Linked DNA regions of Drosophila melanogaster. The protein of the gene in region 4 purifies or fractionates together with the protein of the main gene of each other region. This does not show direct contact. Each region holds a gene or a part of one and is shown on either strand. Other genes may lie near its edges.

Region 1 (4,813 bases), on a different chromosome or scaffold from region 4:
AAAGGCAGTTCGCTGAGCAGAAATAACTCTTCGGCTTCTGAGGCAAGCAAAACGCCTAGTTCAGCATTCATTTTCGGTAGCACGGGTATGTATAATTCGACGTTGACCTCAAGATAAAAGGATCTAACCGCTTTTTATGTTCACTTCAGATAAATCGGAGCCTGGAAAGGATGCTGGCCCATTAGCTAATCTTCAAAAACTAGCATCAGGCGAAGGACAAGGAAACGTTTTGGGATCTATATTCCGTAGCGGCTCGTCAAACGAAAATTCGTCTGACGGTTCTGTCAAGTTCTTTTTCGGGGGTGGAAATAAAGCGGCTGAGCAACAGAAGAAAGATTCCTCAGAGTCTGTCTTCGGAGGCAATAAAGCGGATTCCCAATCGCCAGCGACCCAAGAAGCACCGAAGTTGGCCTTCGGTGGAATTGCCGCACCTGTGTTCGGAGACGCCAATCCTTTTGGAGGCCACAAAGTTAATTTGCAAAAATCAGATGGCAAGGAAGAACCAAAATCTATCATTGGCGGAACCCCATTGTTATTTGGAGGGTCCAACGCCTTTGGAATACCCAAAATTGAAACCCAGTCACCTGCTAAAGACTTTGTGTTTGGCAGTGCACCCGCTTTTGGACAAATGGCAACCTTCTCATTTACAGCTGCAAAAAATGAAAAGGAAAAGGACATAACCTCGAATAACACCACTGATCTTAAAGCCGAAGGCAAGGAAAAGAAGGAGTTGGTGCCGGAGACGACCAGCACATTTGCCGATTTGGCCAAGACAGGCAGCACGTTTGCAGATTTGGCAAGCAATCCGGGCGGCACTTTTGCGGACTTAGCGAACAAGACGGGCAACGACTTTGCCAACCTGTCGGCCAATAGCCAGGGCACTACCGTGGGATTCAACAAGTCCGCCGGGGGCGGCTTTTATAACCTCACGCATCAGAACGCTTTCAAGAACTTCGAGTCGCCGCAAGCCACAGAAGAGTGCGATGATGACGGCGACGCGACCACTGATGACAACTACGATCCGCACTATGATGCCATTGTAGAGCTGCCGGATGAGATAGTTGTCACCACGGGAGAGGAGAACGAGACTAAGCTGTTTGGCGAGCGGGCGAAGCTTTATCGCTATGACGCCGAATCGAAACAATGGAAGGAGCGAGGTAAGCTGTAGTAATAGTCCCTTTCTTATTCACACTAAAAGTTTTTATAAAACCAAAAAAAAAAAAAAAAGGTGTCGGTGAGATAAAGGTGCTGGAGCACCCGGAGCTGCAGACATTCCGACTGATCATGCGGCAGGAGCAGATCCACAAGCTGGTGCTTAACATGAATATCTCCGCCTCCCTGCAAATGGATTACATGAACGCGCAGATGAAGAGCTTCCTGTGGGCCGGCTACAACTACGCGGTGGACGCAGAGGGTAAAGTTGACACCGAGGGCGTCCTGGAACGCCTTGCCTGTCGATTCGCCAAGGAAGAGATCGCCAGTGAGTTCCTCAACACGGTCAATTCGTGCATAAAACGAGCCAAGGCCTTGCAAGGTGATGAGGAGAACAAGAATGACGACGCGCCGGAGGAGCAGGCGAGCTCATAAGCAAACCGGATCTAAATATATGTAGCATGTCTAGGATTGTGTTAGAATATTCATCCAAAACAGTAGCGACAATGGCTATTTCACATTTTGCTAATAAAATTTCGATAAACATTAATATTACATTTGAAATAAATTTGACTATTGAATAAAGCAATCGATATATTAGAGAGGAGACAAATTCGGACGTACAACCATATAGCACAAGGAAACTGGCTATGTTTTTATATATTAAATGTACCTCTACCTATTTTTAAAATATCGACAGCACTTAGATAAAAAATTAAAACAAACAATTACCTTTCGCGATAATCGCTCAACTCCCGATTGTTCCATCCCCAGCCGATAGTTTGACAGCCCTGCCACTGAGAGAGCATAATGACGTGGTGAACTCTGTGTGAAAAAAGAACAATAAATTGCCGACAAATCTCTAGTGTAATTAAATTAGTTACCGCATAGAAACGCACTAAACTGTGGCCAGAACTTTACGAATCCCGAATACTGTCTATATAGCAATCTCAGGAAACTGACAGTTGAAACAGCCCTACAACAAGGAGGAAGAAGAAGAAGGCGACGACGGGCGGTGCAGAATATGAATTAGAGAATAATTAGCGATTGAAGCGCGTCTAGTTTGCCAGTTGGCCCATTTCGTGTTTTGTTAGCCCCTTTCCGGCAGCCCCTGCCCCCGTCCCGGAAAATTTTGCAATTCCCGAATCGATACACGTGTGCAGCGAGAACAACGACAGCGTCAAAGTCAACAATAAAAGTCGAGGGCCGGAGATTAATGAGAGACTACCGACGACGACCATGATGAACGAGGACAGCAGTGCTGCCGGCGGCGGCGGGGTTAAGAAGTTCTTTCAGCGCCTCTCACAGGTAAGTAATTGTGGATAGCCCGTACGTGCCGGGAACTAACCCGCATCCTTTGCTTCCGCAGACCTACCAATCCGCCTTGGACCGTAGCACACCGCACACACGAATGCGCTGGGTGTTCGCCGGCTTTCTGCTCCTGCTCTTTGTGCTGCGCATCTTCATCTATCAGGGCTGGTACATCGTGTGCTATGCGCTTGGCATTTACCACTTGAACCTGTTTATCGCTTTTTTAACGCCCAAGATCGACCCGGAGTTCGATCCGTATTCGCAGGATGACGAGGACGAGGGACCCAATCTGCCAACTCGCAGCAACGAAGAGTTCCGGCCATTCATTCGCCGCCTGCCGGAGTTCAAGTTCTGGCTGTCGGTGGCGAAGAGCACGCTCATCGGTCTGATTTGTACGTTCTTCGATTTCTTCAACGTGCCGGTATTCTGGCCCATCCTGGTCATGTACTTTATCACGCTCTTCTGCATCACGATGAAGCGCCAGATCAAGCATATGATCAAGTACAAGTACTTGCCGTTTACCCGCAATAAACCGCGCTACCAGCGGGTGAATGATCTGGCGGGTTCCGGACCCGGTTCCGTGGCGGGCAACTCAAAGTGACAATTAGCCGCACAGACGTCGGACACGCGGGCGACGGCAGCGGGATCGGGTGATCCTTCAAATGCCTCTTCTGCAGCTGCAGCGCCACCATCACCAACCAGCGACAGCGCAGCGACCAAGGATGTGGGGTCGCCAACAGCATCGTCCATCAAACCACCGCAGATCATTGCCATTGAGGACTACTAGAGAAAGCTACCGAAAGCAGCCCGGAATGGGAACCAGCAGCATAACATCAACCAGAAACAAGCTTATAATATGATTTTCCTTTTCGGTTTGTGTAGCATTTTTCGTTTCACTGTTGAGTTGTCGTACGGCGTCTTGTGCAAAATACCTTGTTTATTGTTTAATCTAACTGCTTGTTTAAATTTATATTTATTTACAATGCTTTCTATCTATTGTAAATCCCAAACGATACCGAAATACTGCAGATCAGCTCTAATTTAGTTTTTCATCCTAATCCTAACAATAATTTAATAACTCTTCTATCCAAAAAGTAGACTTACTGTATTTGAATCCAATTATTTTTGATTATCGTGCTAAGATGCTATAATAATATGTCTAAATATATATACAAACATATATATATATATATTTTGCATTATGATTATACAATTTTTGTTAGCGTTAACTATACAGAATGTTAAAAAAAGGCGAATTGAAAACTGAAACTATAGGAAGTGTACACTGGGTGCGTCTTATGAATAAAGAAAGACAAAAGAAAACCAAATAATTTATCGTTGAATTTTGAACCATTTGGAAAAGGTTGATGGCTTTTGTGGCGTGGTTTTTGTATTTATCTAATCGCTTCTGCATGTAGTTTGCTGTTCGATTTTAAGATACGAAACCAATTTTGATTAGGCCAATGCGTGAAATTGCTTTAGCGATTAGCACAATCACTAAGTGGTTATTTAAAAACGACTCATTTTCTGAACAGTAAATACATTTTATTTTTGTTAAAACGAAGCACACACCAACAAAACGAGCACACGTCATCTAGTCTAGAAAACACGATACAAATAGTTAAAACCCTAGCACGGCAATAATAAAAAAGTTCAAATGCACATACAAATATATATATAAAAATGAATGATAATACGGGAATTGTAATATATGAATAGGCTAACCATGCAAAACAATCGCACATTTTGATTAATTATAAAAAAGTGATTTAATTATGGGCACTTGGGAATACTTTAAGGGCAGCGGGACAAGAGAGATTTCACTTGGACTCCACTTGCGATGTGGCCTTGGCCTTATCCTCTCGAGCGCATTTGCGTATAACACTATTGAAGTACTTGTGCAGAGCGTAGCTAACTATTCGCAGTGGTCCCAAAACTATGGCGTGCAGAAGATTGGTGAAGAAGCCATCCCAAGGAAGCAATGCTCCACCCAAAGTGGTGATCAGCCAGCTTTCTGCTCCAACAGTTGAGGTGAATTTTCCCTTCTACAAATAAGAAAAAGTATTCTAGTTAGATTGCGTGAATATTAACTATGGGTAACAGACTCACCAGGGCATCCTTAAGTATAGCTTTCGCCATAACTTCCGGCTCTATGAGACCTCCTCCACCAGAGATTATTTTGGTTTCCCTGGGCTTTGACTTCTCCTCCTCCTCGAATCCGGGTGTATTCGTATCGCAGGGCATGGCCAGAGTGACGCTGACCCCGTGCTCCCGAGACTCCATTGCAATCGTTTCAGCCATCGCTCTCAGGGCGTACTTGGTGGCTGAGTAAGGACCGTATCCATAGATG
Region 2 (5,287 bases), on a different chromosome or scaffold from region 4:
AGATGAAAAAGGGATATGCCAGGCCTAATTATAACCCAACAGATACATACCCAACGTTGGCTGACTTACAGCTTTAAACCTTTAAGTGGATAAACATGGATATCGTAGGATTGTGAAAACTTGTTAAAGTCATTTAAACTTTATGGACTGCAACCCACTCCTTAGGCAATTGGGTGTGACCTCTAACTTTGTCCCCTGGAGTTCTGATCACGTGACCATCTGTATTAAAGGGAACCAACCCATTCCCCAGATCCCAATCCAATGATGTAATCCTAGGCAGGACAACTCACCGCACTCTGGTGTCCTGTGGGGCAGTGCTCGTGCTTGTTGGGATGGTGGTGGGTCTGTTGCTTGTGGCTGGCACCACCGTTTGCTCCTTCATGGTGGAAGATCTGCTCGTGCTGATGCTGGAAGTACTCGTAGTGACCGACATGATCCGGATGGTGTTCCGTTGGCGGTGAATGGATCCTCGACGGTGGGCTGTGGTGCTGTCCCTTGGCGGCGTGGCCGGAGGTGGTGCTATGATGCGCTGCCTGCTTCTGTGAATGGCCACCTGCTCCTCCATGATGACCACCGCTGCTGGTATGATGACCATGTCCGTGGGCATGATGGTGATTGTGGGTTGGCGGCGAGGGCATGTTGTGGCCGCTGTGGGGCAGATGCGACGAGTGCTGCACACCCACCTGATGTCCGTGGTGGTGAGGAACATGACCTTGGGACGCCTCCATCAGCGTTGGCTGGATGTGGGTCACAAACTGGGCCATTTTGCCGCAACCTTCAACTACTGCTCCCTTTTTGTTGTGGTTTCTTTGAGGTTTGGGCTTAGGTAACACTTGTTTAAAATTTCACTCCTCTATGAGGCGGTTTTTTTTTTTGGGAAGGCGGGGGTGGCACTTTTATATGTATCCCAAAAGTGGGAGTGGGTAGCACAAAAAAACACACACTACGGCTGGCTTGCGGACGAGTTGTGGGCGACGGAGGATTTGGGCTCGGACCGTGGACAACCTTCTCGCAGGAGCAATGTCAAATGACTGACTAGGAGCAGCTATCCCAGTTGGGCCTTAGACGCCACAGGACTCGCCACCCGCCATCGCACCACCCGAACCACTTCGGCTCCAGCTCGGCTGTGCGCGTTCGTCCTCGTCGTGGCGGAAGAGCTTTAACCGGACCCAGTTTTATGCGCCTGGCCTGGCTGATAAGAGATACCACTCGCTTCAACGGCTGATTACGACTTTGGATGGCTGCGGATGCTGATTTAATGATGTCTTCGTGCCGCGCCACGTAGTGCTCTGTTTTTTATATCTGCCTGTCAACTGTGTCACGGATTTCCAATTCGTTTCGCTGGAGATTTTTTTGTCGCTGGGAGGCGGGGCTGCAATCTGTTATTTTTAAAACAGCCAGAGGAACATGTTCCGTCTATTTGTGTCAAGCGGGAAAGTATGCTCCGATTGTTAAGCACCTAACAGGTGGCAGCGAAGTCTAACGACTAGGGACTATCCTGTTGGTTCTTATTTTATTATTTAACATATCAAATCATGTTTTAAATGTTTTGAATATGGAAAAATGGGGTTAAAAAGTTAAAGCGAATGAAACCTATAATTATCTAATTGTCTCTACATTTTATTCTAAACTAACCAAAATATAGTATATTACTATTTAATATGAATTATCCCTCAATGACCTCTGCCGACGAACATTTTCAAGCCTAATATACCCGATTGTATTATTTTATACCTATTGCCCAGAAGCAATACGTTACGTTGTGAACTGAAAGCTTTTACCTTACGTAGATTGCTGGGCATTACGTTAAAGCTATGTTTTATTAAGCTTATTTCGTAGGGTATTTCGTGTGGTACATTGATATCTTAAAAAAGGGGGTGTGTCTCTTCATACACATATGCCTATGTACTTGACAAAACCTGGATGAAATGTACAGTTGGTATTTTAAAAATATTTTACAATACAATTTATTTATATAAGCATTATATTACAATTAAGGCGAGGTACAAACAAATTTGTTAACTCTTCGAAAAGCTTTGGGAAAGTTCCATCAACAGCGCATACAAATGTCTGCGAAATCTTCCCTTATCTCAACCTCCTGCATATATTTGTAGGTGCATATGCTTGTAGTTCGTTCGTCACCACGATTCTGTAGCTTTTGCGACTGCCAGCGCAACAAGGTCCAATGTCCAAGCGTCGCTGCCATATCGCGATGAACCAATGTACATATGTATGTACATATATAACATCGCTATACCGGCGCATCGGCAACTCGTTTGGATCATTTCGCTGGCAGCCACCGACGAGTTAGCAAGGCGACCTAGTTAAAACTCAGGAAAATACGAAAATAAACCCACATTCAAATGGCGTTCCTCAACAAGGTGAGCATATCAGTCAATTTACAACGCAGAGAAAGTGAAAAACACATCGCTGGGACATATCATATCCAAAGGTCCAAAGTTCTATCACGCTAGTGACGACAGCAACTGTTGATCGTAGGATCATACATACATATACATATGTACCTACCAACAAACATATATTCGAGTGGGTTCCGTTTCGAAAACAATTTGTTGCTGCCTATCTGTTAGCAATCATCTGTACTTTGCCCCCCCTGAGAAAGTATTATTAGCGGCGTCTAATGGCGGCTTATCGTGCACTCTATTTAAATCGGAATGCAAACTTTATGGGCAGGCATATTCGTTATCTGTTTTATGAAAAAAATAGAATGTGATGGTTGGTTATGAACCTCAAACATCCAAAGTCCCTTGTAAATATAAAAAAAACCTTCGTCTATGATCATGATGTTGTATTAATTAAATACATACGTAGTTGGCCCATTTTATTTGTTGCTTGTAGTTAAGATTAATTCGCGGTCAACTTTGTTGTTGTTCTGATTATTTCTACATTTTCATTTTGCATTTCGATAAACACTTGTTTACCAGTTGACTTTAAATCCGATATCCAATATCCGAAAATCCAGCTTGCTGCGCCTGCCCTGCGCCAGTTGGTGTCCCAAAGTCGCGCCTACGCCGCCGTGTCACACGTTTCGCCCAATGGCACCTCTTTCGCACTCACCGAGGATCAGCTGCAGCTGCAGGAACTGGCACGTAAGTTCACCCGTGAGGAGATCATCCCGGTGGCCGCCCAGTACGACAAGAGCGGCGAGTACCCGTGGCCCATCATCAAGAAGGCCTGGGAACTGGGCCTGATGAACAACCACATTCCTGCTGATATTGGTGGCCTGGATCTCGATGTGTTCACCACCTGCTTGTCGGCCGAGGAGTTGGCCTATGGCTGCACTGGCATCATGACCGCCTTAGAGGCTAGTGGTCTGGGCGTAAGTTTAAAGTCATGTCTATTTACGGCAAGATGATCGAAACGCCACGTTCTTTCATAGCAAACTCCTGTGATCCTGTCCGGTAACAAGGAACAGAAGAAAAAGTACCTGGGCCGCCTGCTGGAGGAGCCACTTGTCGCCGCCTATTGTGTTACAGAGCCCGGAGCAGGATCCGATGTGTCCGGCATCAAGACACGCGCCGAGAAGAAGGGTGATGAGTGGGTAATCAACGGCCAGAAGATGTGGATCACCAACGGTGGTGTGGCGAACTGGTACTTTGTGCTGGCCCGCACCAATCCGGATCCCAAGTGCCCGCCCAGCAAGGCCTTCACCGGGTTCATTGTGGAGCGCGACAGTCCCGGACTAACGCCCGGCCGCAAGGAGTTGAACATGGGACAGCGCGCCTCCGACACGCGTGGCATCACCTTCGAGGATGTGCGCGTGCCCAAGGAAAATGTGCTGATTGGCGAGGGTGCCGGTTTCAAAATTGCCATGGGCACCTTTGATAAGACGCGTCCTCCAGTTGCTGCCGGAGCTGTGGGTTTGGCCCAGCGTTGCTTGGATGAGGCTCTTAAATACGCGCTGGAACGCAAGACCTTTGGCGTGCCCATCGCTTACCACCAGGCTGTGCAGTTCATGCTGGCTGATATGGCCATCGGTGTGGAGACATCCCGTCTGGCGTGGCGTCTCTCCGCCTGGGAAATCGACCAGGGACGCCGCAACAGCTACTATGCCTCCATTGCCAAGTGCCATGCCGCCGATATGGCCAACAAGATTGCCTCCGATGCCGTCCAGATCTTTGGAGGCAACGGCTTCAACAGCGAGTATCCCGTGGAGAAGCTGATGCGTGATGCCAAGATCTACCAAATCTACGAAGGTACTTCTCAGATCCAGCGCCTCATCATTTCCCGAAACATGTACGAGGCTGCTAAGGGTCAAGCCTAAGTCAGTTTTAACTAGGATTCCTCATCTCCATTCACCTCATCAGTTGTCATGCTCATTGTAGACACATTCACAAATCCGATTAATAAAGTACAATAAGTAAATAATTACAAGAAAATATAAATCATTGATTGTGATTTGTCTGTTGAGGGAAATGTTGTATAAATGGCACTTGGTAATTTCTAAGGAATTACTTATTCCTCAAGTGTATAAAAGGAAGGAAGAAGTAAGCAAACAGTCAGTGCGTTAGTATGTTTACTAATTCTTAATATTTCAAGTTTCTCTAATCTTGCCCTCACTTACCCCCAAAATTGTAGAGTCTAGACCATCGCAAATTATTTCGCTAGCTATCATCCATTGATAAGATAAGCCCTGTGGGGGCTGAGTGTTTGTTCTACTTAGGTTCAACGAATCGCTGTTCTGCTATCAACTGAACGATAAGACTTACTGTACTTAGATTTGCTATATAATTGTCAAACAATAAAAAATGCTCTGGGACATACAACACAAGGAAATGGTTTACACATGATGAGACTACACTATTCCGCATCGCTTCCATCAGCGAGTAGCTTAAGTAGACCTTTGTACCGCCTTCCAATTTTCCGGCTATTTGATGTGGTCAACATTTTGGCCTTGTCTCCAAATTGCAGCTGCCAAATGGACTGAAGTGTTTCCAGGGCTCCTGGCATGGAGAACACCTGCTCATCAACTGTTAATTCTAAGCGCCTGGGCAGCTGCTTTAGTTGTTCGAGTTTTTGCAGACGAATGTCATCCAGTAGATTTGTACAATTAACGGCCAAAAGATCGCGTAATTGAGGTAGTTCATCTAATATGTATCCAAGAGTAGTTCCACTTAAATTGCTATTATCACTGATATCCAACATCTGTAGTTGTTTGGCTTTGGCCAAATGCTGGCTGATATTGTACATATGCGCATCGTTCAAGCCGCAGCCAGCGAGCTGCACTCCGACAAATCGCTCGCAGGTACCACCTTCGAAAAGCGTA
Region 3 (5,224 bases), on a different chromosome or scaffold from region 4:
CCACCTGTTTACGTTAATTAATCCGCTAACAAGGTTCCGTTTCAATCCACCCCCAATTCAGAGAAGCGGACGCATAGGATCGAATTGAAAGGGGAGCCACTAACCTTAACAACAGCATCGGACATCTTATCGTTGTAGCTGTATACCTCGTTGAGGAAGTGCAGCTCCTTGAAGTACCACAGCGTACTGATGTTGGTCTTCTCCAGAGCCATGCGATTGCACTCCCGCTTGTATACCGTGCGCAGGTTGTCCCACTTACGGGTGATGGCGTCCTTGGCCAGCGAGATGTTAAACCGGCTCTTGAACTCCAGCACAATCCAGTCGAGGAAGCGGGCGCGCTTAACGCGATCCCGGAACTGTGCATTGCCGTGGTCCCACAAAAAGGGGTTGCGCTGATACGAGTGGATGAGAAACTGGATCATCTTGCGGTCCTTGATGTGCATCGTAACCTCCCGGTCGCGCTAAGGGGTGGGAAAATGATAAAATCATTACAAATAGGTATATATGGATATTAGTGAAAATTAAGGGTGAAATAAATGTAGCTTTTAAATCGATGGGCGAAAATTTTAACAAAAATATCTGTATGTATATAGTATAAAAATATAACTTACTCCCAGCAGGGACTCCTCCACCATCTCATCATAGCTGAGAAAGTCCGATTCGGTTCCGAAACCACTGTGGTTAACGCCGTCGAATCCAGCAAAGTCCATGTACTCTCCGGAATTGTCGTCCATATAGCTGTGATCCGGATCACCGTAGTCGTCCATGGATGAATCGCCGTCACCGGCGATGAGAAGCTCGCTAGACATGTCCCTCTGGCGCTGCTTTGTGACCTTTTTGCGTGCCCGCGTCTTGGAACTGACCACCGGTACATCGCTTTCGGGTAATATGGCCTCGTCCTCATCGGCCTCGGAATCGTTCAGCCGTTGCTCATCGTCGTCTTCTTCGCCGGCGACCACATCATCATCGCTGCAGGGCAGATCCTGGAGCTCTTGTTTGATGACCATTTGGGGCTCCAGCAGCGCTGTGTCCGCGTCCGTTAAGTCTTCGATCTCGTGGAAGTTGGGCAGATCCCCATTACGACCGGACAGGGACATGGGCTCGCCGAGATTGAAGGGGAGACGGGAGGAGGTATTCGCCACGGACTGGTCGCCCAGGTGAACTGTCTGCATGTGGCCGATGAAGGAGTCGAAGTAGAGAAACTTCTCGCTGCAGAAGATGCAACGCAGGGCGAAGTACTGGAAGTCATCTGTGGCCGTCACCATGCCGCAGTCCTTGGTGCAGTGACGGAAAATCTCCTCGTCGTTGGTACGTGGATACGCCAGGACACTCATCGCGCCGCCTGCGGATCCTCGTCCTGTCCGGTTAACAATCAGAATTCAATTAAGTCTCTTGGTACTCTACGCTGCGGTCGGCGCACTCTAGTATTGTGCCTTATTTTGACTTGATTTTATCCCGATTTGGCCAATAAAAAAAAACTTTTTAGTGTTGGGGTTTGGGCGCACGGTTGCATTTCATTTGCTAATCGCCATCGGTGGTCGCAGGTGAGCCGATTAAATTGTGCGGCTTATTTTGCAGTGATTTAGCGGGAAATAGCCATTACTAGCGGGAAATATATTACCACCCTTAAGACCTTCTTTAATACTCATAATCATATAATCTTTGTAAATAACTTAGATATTAAGAATCGCTTAAATTGATACCGATTAAATTAAGTTGCCCAAGAAGGGTAATGGTACGCTAGTCAATAAAATAATTTCGTTTAATAAATTTAAATAAAAAAAAAGATATATATATGAAACATTTTTTAAATGTCATTTTGCATGTAAGCCACCACAACGAAAAATCTAATTAGAAATAAATAAAAGTGTTACAAATTGGAAGTGATTACAATACTATCGATTGTACTGCTTTGAAGTCTCTAGTTGTCTTTCCCCCATCTGGTCACACTTGCCATCTGATTTCTTCGATTCGCCTAACTTTAAGCGTGCTTGGATTTGTGCCGATTCCTATTGATTTATTTTGCCGAGCTAAGAAAATCTCTGTTTAATTGCGACACGCGATGGCTTCGATTAGCTTGCTGAACCCCAAGGCCGAGTTTGCCCGCGCCGCCCAGGCTCTGGCCATCAATATCAGTGCCGCCAAGGGACTGCAGGATGTGATGCGCACCAATTTGGGACCCAAGGGCACCGTTAAGATGTAAGTTACTAAAACCGGCCTCTAATATCCCTCACTTTGCGTTCCATTAGCAATTTGAGTGAGAATGCTAGTTTATAGGCGAAAAAACAAACGTTTTGGTCACAGCTGCGGCAACTGCAAGTTTGAGGTTAGACTGGAACTAGCGGCATGCGTCATCGCAAAAGAAAGAAAGAGAATGTTGCAACTCTGGAGCAAAAAGCTTAGAATTTAGGTGTTTTTATTTAATTTCAAAAAGAATCTTAAATGAAAGATGCCCCCAGAGGCTTTAATTTATTCATAAATGTGTGTTTACCTGCATATCCAGCACCGGGTGATTCAGAAAGTGGCATCGAAAGAGGCGTGACTTGACTCACGCGCCGTGAAAAGTGAAACAAGCATACTAATTCTAGAAACTTCGCAGGTTGGTTTCTGGCGCCGGCGACATCAAGATCACCAAGGATGGCAATGTCCTGCTGCACGAAATGCAGATCCAACATCCGACTGCCTCTATGATTGCCAGGGCCAGCACGGCCCAGGATGATTCCACCGGCGATGGAACCACCACCACTGTGATGCTTATTGGCGAGCTCCTGAAGCAGGCCGATATCTATCTGTCCGAGGGACTGCATCCTCGCATCATGACCGATGGATTCGAGAAGGCACGCGACAAGGCATTGGAGGTGCTCGACCAGGTCAAGGTGCCCGTGGAGATCAACAAGAAGAACCTGGTGGAGGTGGCCAACACAAGTCTGAAGACCAAGGTGCATCCCGCCCTTGCCGATCTGCTTACGGACGTCTGCGTGAATGCCGTGCTGACCATTGCCAGTGCCGATAAGACCAAGCCCGTGGACCTCCACATGGTGGAGCTGATGGAGATGCAGCACAAATCCGATACCGATACACAGCTGGTGCGTGGACTAGTCATGGACCATGGTGCTCGCCACCCGGACATGCCGAAGCGTTTGGAGAATGCCTACATCCTTACGGCCAATGTCTCGCTGGAGTACGAGAAGGCCGAGGTCAACTCTGGCTTCTTCTACAAGACCGCCGAGGAGCGTGAGGCCTTTGTGCGCGCCGAGCGCGAATTCATCGACCAGCGTGTGAAGAAGGTGATCGAATTGAAGCGCTCCGTGTGCGATGGCACCGACAAAACCTTCGTCCTGATCAACCAGAAGGGCATCGACCCCATCTCGCTGGACGCCCTGGCCAAGGAGGGCATCCTGGCCTTGCGTCGCGCCAAGCGCCGCAACATGGAGCGTCTGTCTTTGGCCTGCGGTGGCACTGCAATGAACTCCTTTGACGATCTGCAGGAGGAGCACTTGGGATACGCCGGTGTGGTGTACGAGCATGTTCTGGGCGAGAACAAGTACACTTTCGTTGAGGACTGCAAGAACCCGCTGTCCGTCACGATCCTGATCAAGGGTCCCAACAAGCACACGATCACCCAGATCAAGGACGCCATCAGGGACGGTCTGCGTGCCATCAACAACACCATTGCCGATAAGGCTCTGGTGCCCGGAGCTGGAGCATTCGAGGTGCGCGCGTACAACGAGCTGGTCGCCTTCAAGGACACCATCAAGGGCAAGTCCCGCCTGGCAGTGCAGGCCTTTGCCGATGCCCTGCTGGTCATTCCCAAGACGCTGGCCGTGAACAGCGGCTACGATGCCCAGGACACAATCGTCAAGCTGACTGTTGAGGATCGCCTGAGTCCCGAACTGGTCGGCCTGGATCTGGCCACCGGGGAGCCCATGAAGCCCGTGGATCTGGGCGTCTACGACAACTACATCGTTAAGAAGCAGATCCTCAACTCCTGTTCGATCATTGCCAGCAACCTGCTTCTCGTCGACGAGGTGATGCGTGCGGGCATGACGAGCCTCAAGGGCTAGTCCCCATCATTTCATCCGACCCATTCAATTTAACCAAGTTAATGCACCGCATGCTACTCAACCCGCGTCTCTCAAAGCCACACACAACCAAAAGAAAACTAAACACGTAAATAATTTGGAAACACATGAAATCGGAATGGTTGCGGCTGCAAGTATTCACATTTAAAATACAATTCTAATAAATACAAAAACCAAACACAGCTCTATGCTTAACGCTAATGTATTTTCTATTTTTATTAACACTAATGTTTACTCACTACAAACTTTCATTGGTTTAAAAATAAATGGAAATAGCGATTTAGCCGTGACTCAAACCTCAATATGGGCGGTAATTGGGGAATACCCACAACTACATTTTTTGGGGCCACATGGTATATTTGAAGAGTCCACTGGGTGGTCACACCGCAGTCAACAGTTGTCGCTTTCGCTGGAAAGCAGCTGAAAACAAGTGAATTTCTGAATTAAAAACATTTTCAAACATGTTTTCGGTTACTTGTGTGGCGCCCGTAAACATAGCGCTCATCAAATATTGTGGGTAAATTAATACATATATTATAAGCACATAAACTTATGCACATGCATTCCTTTAAAGGGGGAAAGCGGCACGAAGAGCTAATTCTGCCCGTCAATGATTCCATTAGCATGACTCTGAGCACCGATGAGGTAAATATGAAAGATATTTAAATATTTATTTGCGTTTTAAAACCAACAAATTGTAATTAAAAAATTAAAAAACCTTAGACGCTTTTAATAATGGTTTAAGTTTAAAGTGCGCGTAGTCGAAGTTTTCATTTTCTCACAAATGTAAATATTACGAAAACTTTCTATTTAATTTGGGAAGATCTCACGGATTTTCACTTTTCACCGATTCTCTCTCTTTCGATTTGTGTGGACACTGAATTTGCTTAAGATTAAAATGAAATTACTAACTTAAAAAAAATGGGTTTTTGAATATGGGTTGTTCGAAATCCTGTAATTTCTAACTTATTTTTTGAAATAGCAATCTATCGAGACTTTTAAAATCTTGAACAATTACCTTTCTTGATCCCATCTCCCAAGCTCTGCGCCAAGACAACAGTGACTGCATCGGAATCCTTTGAAACGAATCGCATGTGGCTGAATGGGGAGGAGGTGCCTTTTGAAGAGAGTTCCCGCCTGCA
Region 4 (4,129 bases):
GCGGCAGTGGCTGCTGGTCTTCCCCTGCCACCTACGATCACGCCGCCTGGTTGCAGCACCGGCAGCGCAACCAACAGCAATGTCGGTTGTCTGATCATCGAGCCGCATCTCTTTGCGGCGGCGGACAACTTCAAGAAGGAACTGACAGCGGCTGCGGCAGCTGGAGCACCTTTGGGATTGTTCCAGAACCTGGCCAACCAAGTGCAGAACGCCAATCGTTTGAACGGCAGCTGCCCGAGCTTACCCATGGGTAATCCCACTCCTCCGCCGCCGCCGCCAGCGCCACCAGCCTCCAAGGTGCGAAGGGTACAACCTTCGCCGCAAACCACGGCCATCAACCTAAGTTGCTCCGGAGGGAATTCCGTACAAACGCAGCAGCAGCAGTCAATGCAAATGCCACAAATTCAACAGCAACAACAGCCGTCGCCCGCCAAAACGCGTAAGATTTGCGATCCGCGTTTTCCGAGCGATTGGGACGTCTCTGCCGTGCTACAGGCCAACAGAGAACTTGACGCAAACACTCTTTTCTTCTTGAGTCTGGCGCGGCAGGTGCGAGCTATGCCCATGAAATTCCAGTCGCTCGCCAAGATGCGTTGCATGCGAATCGTCAGTGATTTGGAGCTAGAGCTGGAGAACTTTGATTGCAACGGTGGAGCGCCACCGCCGGATGATTCAGGCGGAGGAGGAGCTGGGAATCTCAAGTACTGCAGCATAGATACTCCGCCACCGCCGCCGCAGGACGGCTCCGTGGTCATACCCCCGCCGCCAGTCGGCCCCGAGGGCTCCACGGAGCACTTTGTGTATGTGATGTCGCCGTCGCGTGTGGAGAGCATGATAGACATCTCCTCCGACGAGGAGGCGACCATGAATGGAGCGCCCTCCACGGGCCAGGTTTAAGCGTATTCGTACAAGTTATCTCTAAATTAAAATTAAATTAATCTCAACTAGGTTCCTTCGGTTGGTCTTTCAATCAGTTTATTTTGGAGCGGCGGGTGATCCGATGCTTAGGTGTACAAAATGTGGAAAAATCTCCGGGACCCGGCAATTTGATGGTACATGACTTTAGTGCGAATGAATTTCATTCAAAATCTCGATGACGAAGGCATCCTCTACTTAGGACTGCACCTTGCCCTTGGTGGTGAAGGCGAAGTATGCGAATCCGCCGACCAAGAAGGCGGCCAAAAGCTCAGCCTTGATCCAGGGACCCTTGTAGGCACCCTTGGTGGGCACGGAAATGTCGAGCAGCGACTTCACCGATGAAACCTTGTCGCCATCCCGCTGGGCCTTGCGCACATTGGCATAGCCATCCTCGTCGAAGAGACGCACCTGAACATTGCCGCTGCTGCCCTGCTTGATATCCTCCACCCAGCTCACCTAGTGCAGAACAGAGATTAGCCTTTGCACAAAACTTGACGGGGCTACTACTGGCTCACCTGGTACTTGTTGTCGCCCACCTTGGCCACCGGCACCACCTTGCCGCAGGGGAACTCGGCGAACAGGCTGGCGGGAGCGGCTCCGCTGCACTGCAGCGTGAACTCGCCCACATGGGCCAGCTGGGTCAGAATCGTGGCATCCTGGGTGCTGAAAGAGCTCACGGTGGCCTTGCAGCTACCGTAGACGCCGGACGCACAAACGGCGGCAATCAGGCAAATGGCGAACAGTTGACGGGACATCTTGATCAAGTTATGAGGTGGTTTTTATTTAGTAATCAATGGAATAGGCGGAACTCTACGGCTATCCAACTCGGCGACCTGCGACTTTCTTTCTCTCTGGAAGCGAACGCCACGACAGCACCATACATACGTCACGTCACTTGACAGCTACGAAAATTGCCGAAGTCGTACCAGTTCGATGGTCACACTGGTCGTGACCAGGGATGGCAACGCTCAGTCGAGAATAGCTACAAAATAGCTAGTAGCCCGTGGTAAATTTTTCCGATTTTTTACTTGTTATATCTAAAAATACAGTTTTAGAAAGCGGTTTTTTGTAGTTTCCTAATGACATCTATATGTTAAGATTTCTCCGGGAATGTTTGTCGTTCGAATATGATAGCAATTAGTACGTATACGTAAATGTTATAAAATTCATATAAAATTTGTATATACAAGTATTAAAAATAAGTGCGTATACATAAAAAATATAAAAATATGGGATTCATTTTATTTGGAATAAAGTTATTACTAATGATGTCAGTCCTGTCAAAATAAATCTTTCCTAATTATAGGGGCATTGAGATATGTAGACTTAATTTCCTCCCATATCAATTCAATTTCTAGCGATTTCAATTTCAAATATATAATTTGAAAATATCGAATTTTAAATAAAAAACAATTATATTAAAGTTAAATATTAATAAATTAAATTAAATTTATAAATAAAAATATAATGACAAATAGAATTCTTCACCAACAGGTTAAATTTTTGTAGTCTTACTTTGATTAAAAGACTAAAATTCTTATTAAATTATATTTATACAAAATTGTAATGTTTTAAGGAAAAATTGCTCAGCTATGATCGAGTACCGAATGCAATCCATCACTTTGGAGGATTCTGCTTTAGATCGCTATTGCGCTGATATTAAAAACATCAAAGTGAACTTTGATCAAATTGGTGGCTTAATTTGTACTTAGGCAAATACCCAAAGTTCCTTGTCTAAAACGTCTTTGAGGGGATTCCTTTTGCAATACATTTACGTTGGGCTGACTTCATTTAAAATATGTATGTAAGTATCTATTTAATTTAAAGTCAATAGATAAAGTCCAGGCCGTTCCAGTCACAGTAATTTCGTACCGACTGCATTTCTAATTAAAATAAGTTTTCGTCTGACAGTTTTGCTATGGTACCGTTCTGTGATCGGTTACGACTAAGTCCAATATTTATGGCACTTCGATTGCAATTGATTTCGAATTGCAGCAGTGTCAGAGGAAACGGGAGTCCTGTCCAATCGTTGGGGGAGTCTTCAAAGTCGGGCCATAAGCACCGAGTATTGACTGGTGGCAGTGATTAATGCCCATCCAACTGGAATGGGGCTTTCAGCTTTGTTTTAAGTACATTTTATTGGCAATCGGAAAATCGGATACTATCGTATAAATACTTTGGCTAACAGGCATACGAATGTATGCGGATGTGACCTTGAAGTGGGCCTGATTTGGTTTTGCTTTTTTTGTTTACGGTTTTATGCCATTTTGTGTTTGTGTTTGCCGCCACCGTTCGAATCGGCTCCATTTTGCTATGTTCGTTACTTTCCTTTGATTGCCACCGCGCACGGAACTTTTCCACCGAACTTTGCATGTCTTTGATGAATTTGAAATTGTCACAAATGTGAAAGTTTTTCACTTGCCATCCCATCCGGTTGCCCATCCGCAGATACAGATACTCATACTCATACTAATACCGGCAACAACTGAATTTGCATCTAACATTTTGCTGACATTGAGCGACTTGTACGCATTTCTCCTTCCTCCTCCTCCCCTCTTCTCACCACTCTGCCAGCCTTTTTCCTGCTTCTTTTTTTTGGCTACTATTCATTCATTCATGGCCGGATTTGCATATTTGCCAAAAATGCCGTAATCCTTTCGATTAAGAGGCGTTCGGTGGGTGATTCGCAAATGAAAACAAAAGTTCGTGCGGGTTCATTGAGTCGCAGTCGAAAACTTGCCAGACCCACCGGAATTGCACGTGTCTTTGGGGGAGGAGTGGGTTGATCCGGGGTTGGCAGGTGGATCGACGGATGCATTGGGCAAAATAAAGTGCACTCTGACCGGAAACGAAATTGGTACTTAGATTGCAAACATAGAAGCAGGCGCGATTGTGTATAAGCCAAATTTTGGCGTTCTATATTCTACAATATTTTAATTTTGGGAGTTTTTCAACAACTCGCAAAAATAAATATTACAATAAACCTAAGTTTTTAAAAGTTTTTCATATAAAAAACGAACCAATTATTAACAGGATACATTTACTAATCGAGTATAATAGCTCATTTGTAAGGGACATTACCTTTTTTAATTTTTCCTAGATCACTCCAATTTCTTTCAGTGTGCTTCGGTGGATGGTTGTCTGACGTGTGGGTGTGAGCAGGAAATGGAACAAAGAACCGAACTGTAAGGAGAGCCTGAGCCAGCATAAC

The links.
Region 1: the proteins of Tapdelta (region 4) and CG11857 purify together in Drosophila melanogaster (affinity purification with mass spectrometry, with the first as the bait; one large-scale study listed by BioGRID). This does not show direct contact.
Region 2: the proteins of Tapdelta (region 4) and Mcad purify together in Drosophila melanogaster (affinity purification with mass spectrometry, with the first as the bait; one large-scale study listed by BioGRID). This does not show direct contact.
Region 3: the proteins of Tapdelta (region 4) and CCT6 purify together in Drosophila melanogaster (affinity purification with mass spectrometry, with the first as the bait; one large-scale study listed by BioGRID). This does not show direct contact.

The regions. Positions count from the first base shown.
Region 1 is NT_033777.3:25,256,973-25,261,785, forward strand, and holds CG11857 (uncharacterized protein), read left to right. Parts: upstream 1-1,925; 5' UTR 1,926-2,391; coding exon 2,392-2,460; intron 2,461-2,521; coding exon 2,522-3,064; coding exon of another isoform or gene 3,065-3,250; 3' UTR 3,251-3,787; downstream 3,788-4,813. Other genes in the region: Nup358 (nucleoporin 358kD), read left to right, coding at 1-85, 150-1,157, 1,229-1,587; Kdsr (3-ketodihydrosphingosine reductase), read right to left, coding at 4,284-4,508, 4,573-4,813.
Region 2 is NT_037436.4:7,717,077-7,722,363, forward strand, and holds Mcad (Medium-chain acyl-CoA dehydrogenase), read left to right. Parts: upstream 1-2,273; 5' UTR 2,274-2,363; coding exon 2,364-2,381; intron 2,382-2,822; exon of another isoform or gene 2,823-2,983; coding exon 2,984-3,340; exon of another isoform or gene 3,341-3,400; coding exon 3,401-4,285; 3' UTR 4,286-4,396; downstream 4,397-5,287. Other genes in the region: CG7457 (uncharacterized protein), read right to left, coding at 4,822-5,287.
Region 3 is NC_004354.4:15,744,709-15,749,932, forward strand, and holds CCT6 (chaperonin containing TCP1 subunit 6), read left to right. Parts: upstream 1-1,939; 5' UTR 1,940-2,062; coding exon 2,063-2,199; intron 2,200-2,599; coding exon 2,600-4,064; 3' UTR 4,065-4,263; downstream 4,264-5,224. Other genes in the region: CG8944 (uncharacterized protein), read right to left, coding at 105-461, 612-1,334; Mvd (mevalonate diphosphate decarboxylase), read left to right, coding at 4,544-4,595, 4,657-4,727, 5,124-5,224.
Region 4 is NT_033778.4:11,369,340-11,373,468, forward strand, and holds Tapdelta (Translocon-associated protein delta), read right to left. Parts: upstream 1,997-4,129; 5' UTR 1,674-1,996; coding exon 1,434-1,673; intron 1,375-1,433; coding exon 1,114-1,374; 3' UTR 961-1,113; downstream 1-960. Other genes in the region: CG13204 (uncharacterized protein), read left to right, coding at 1-897.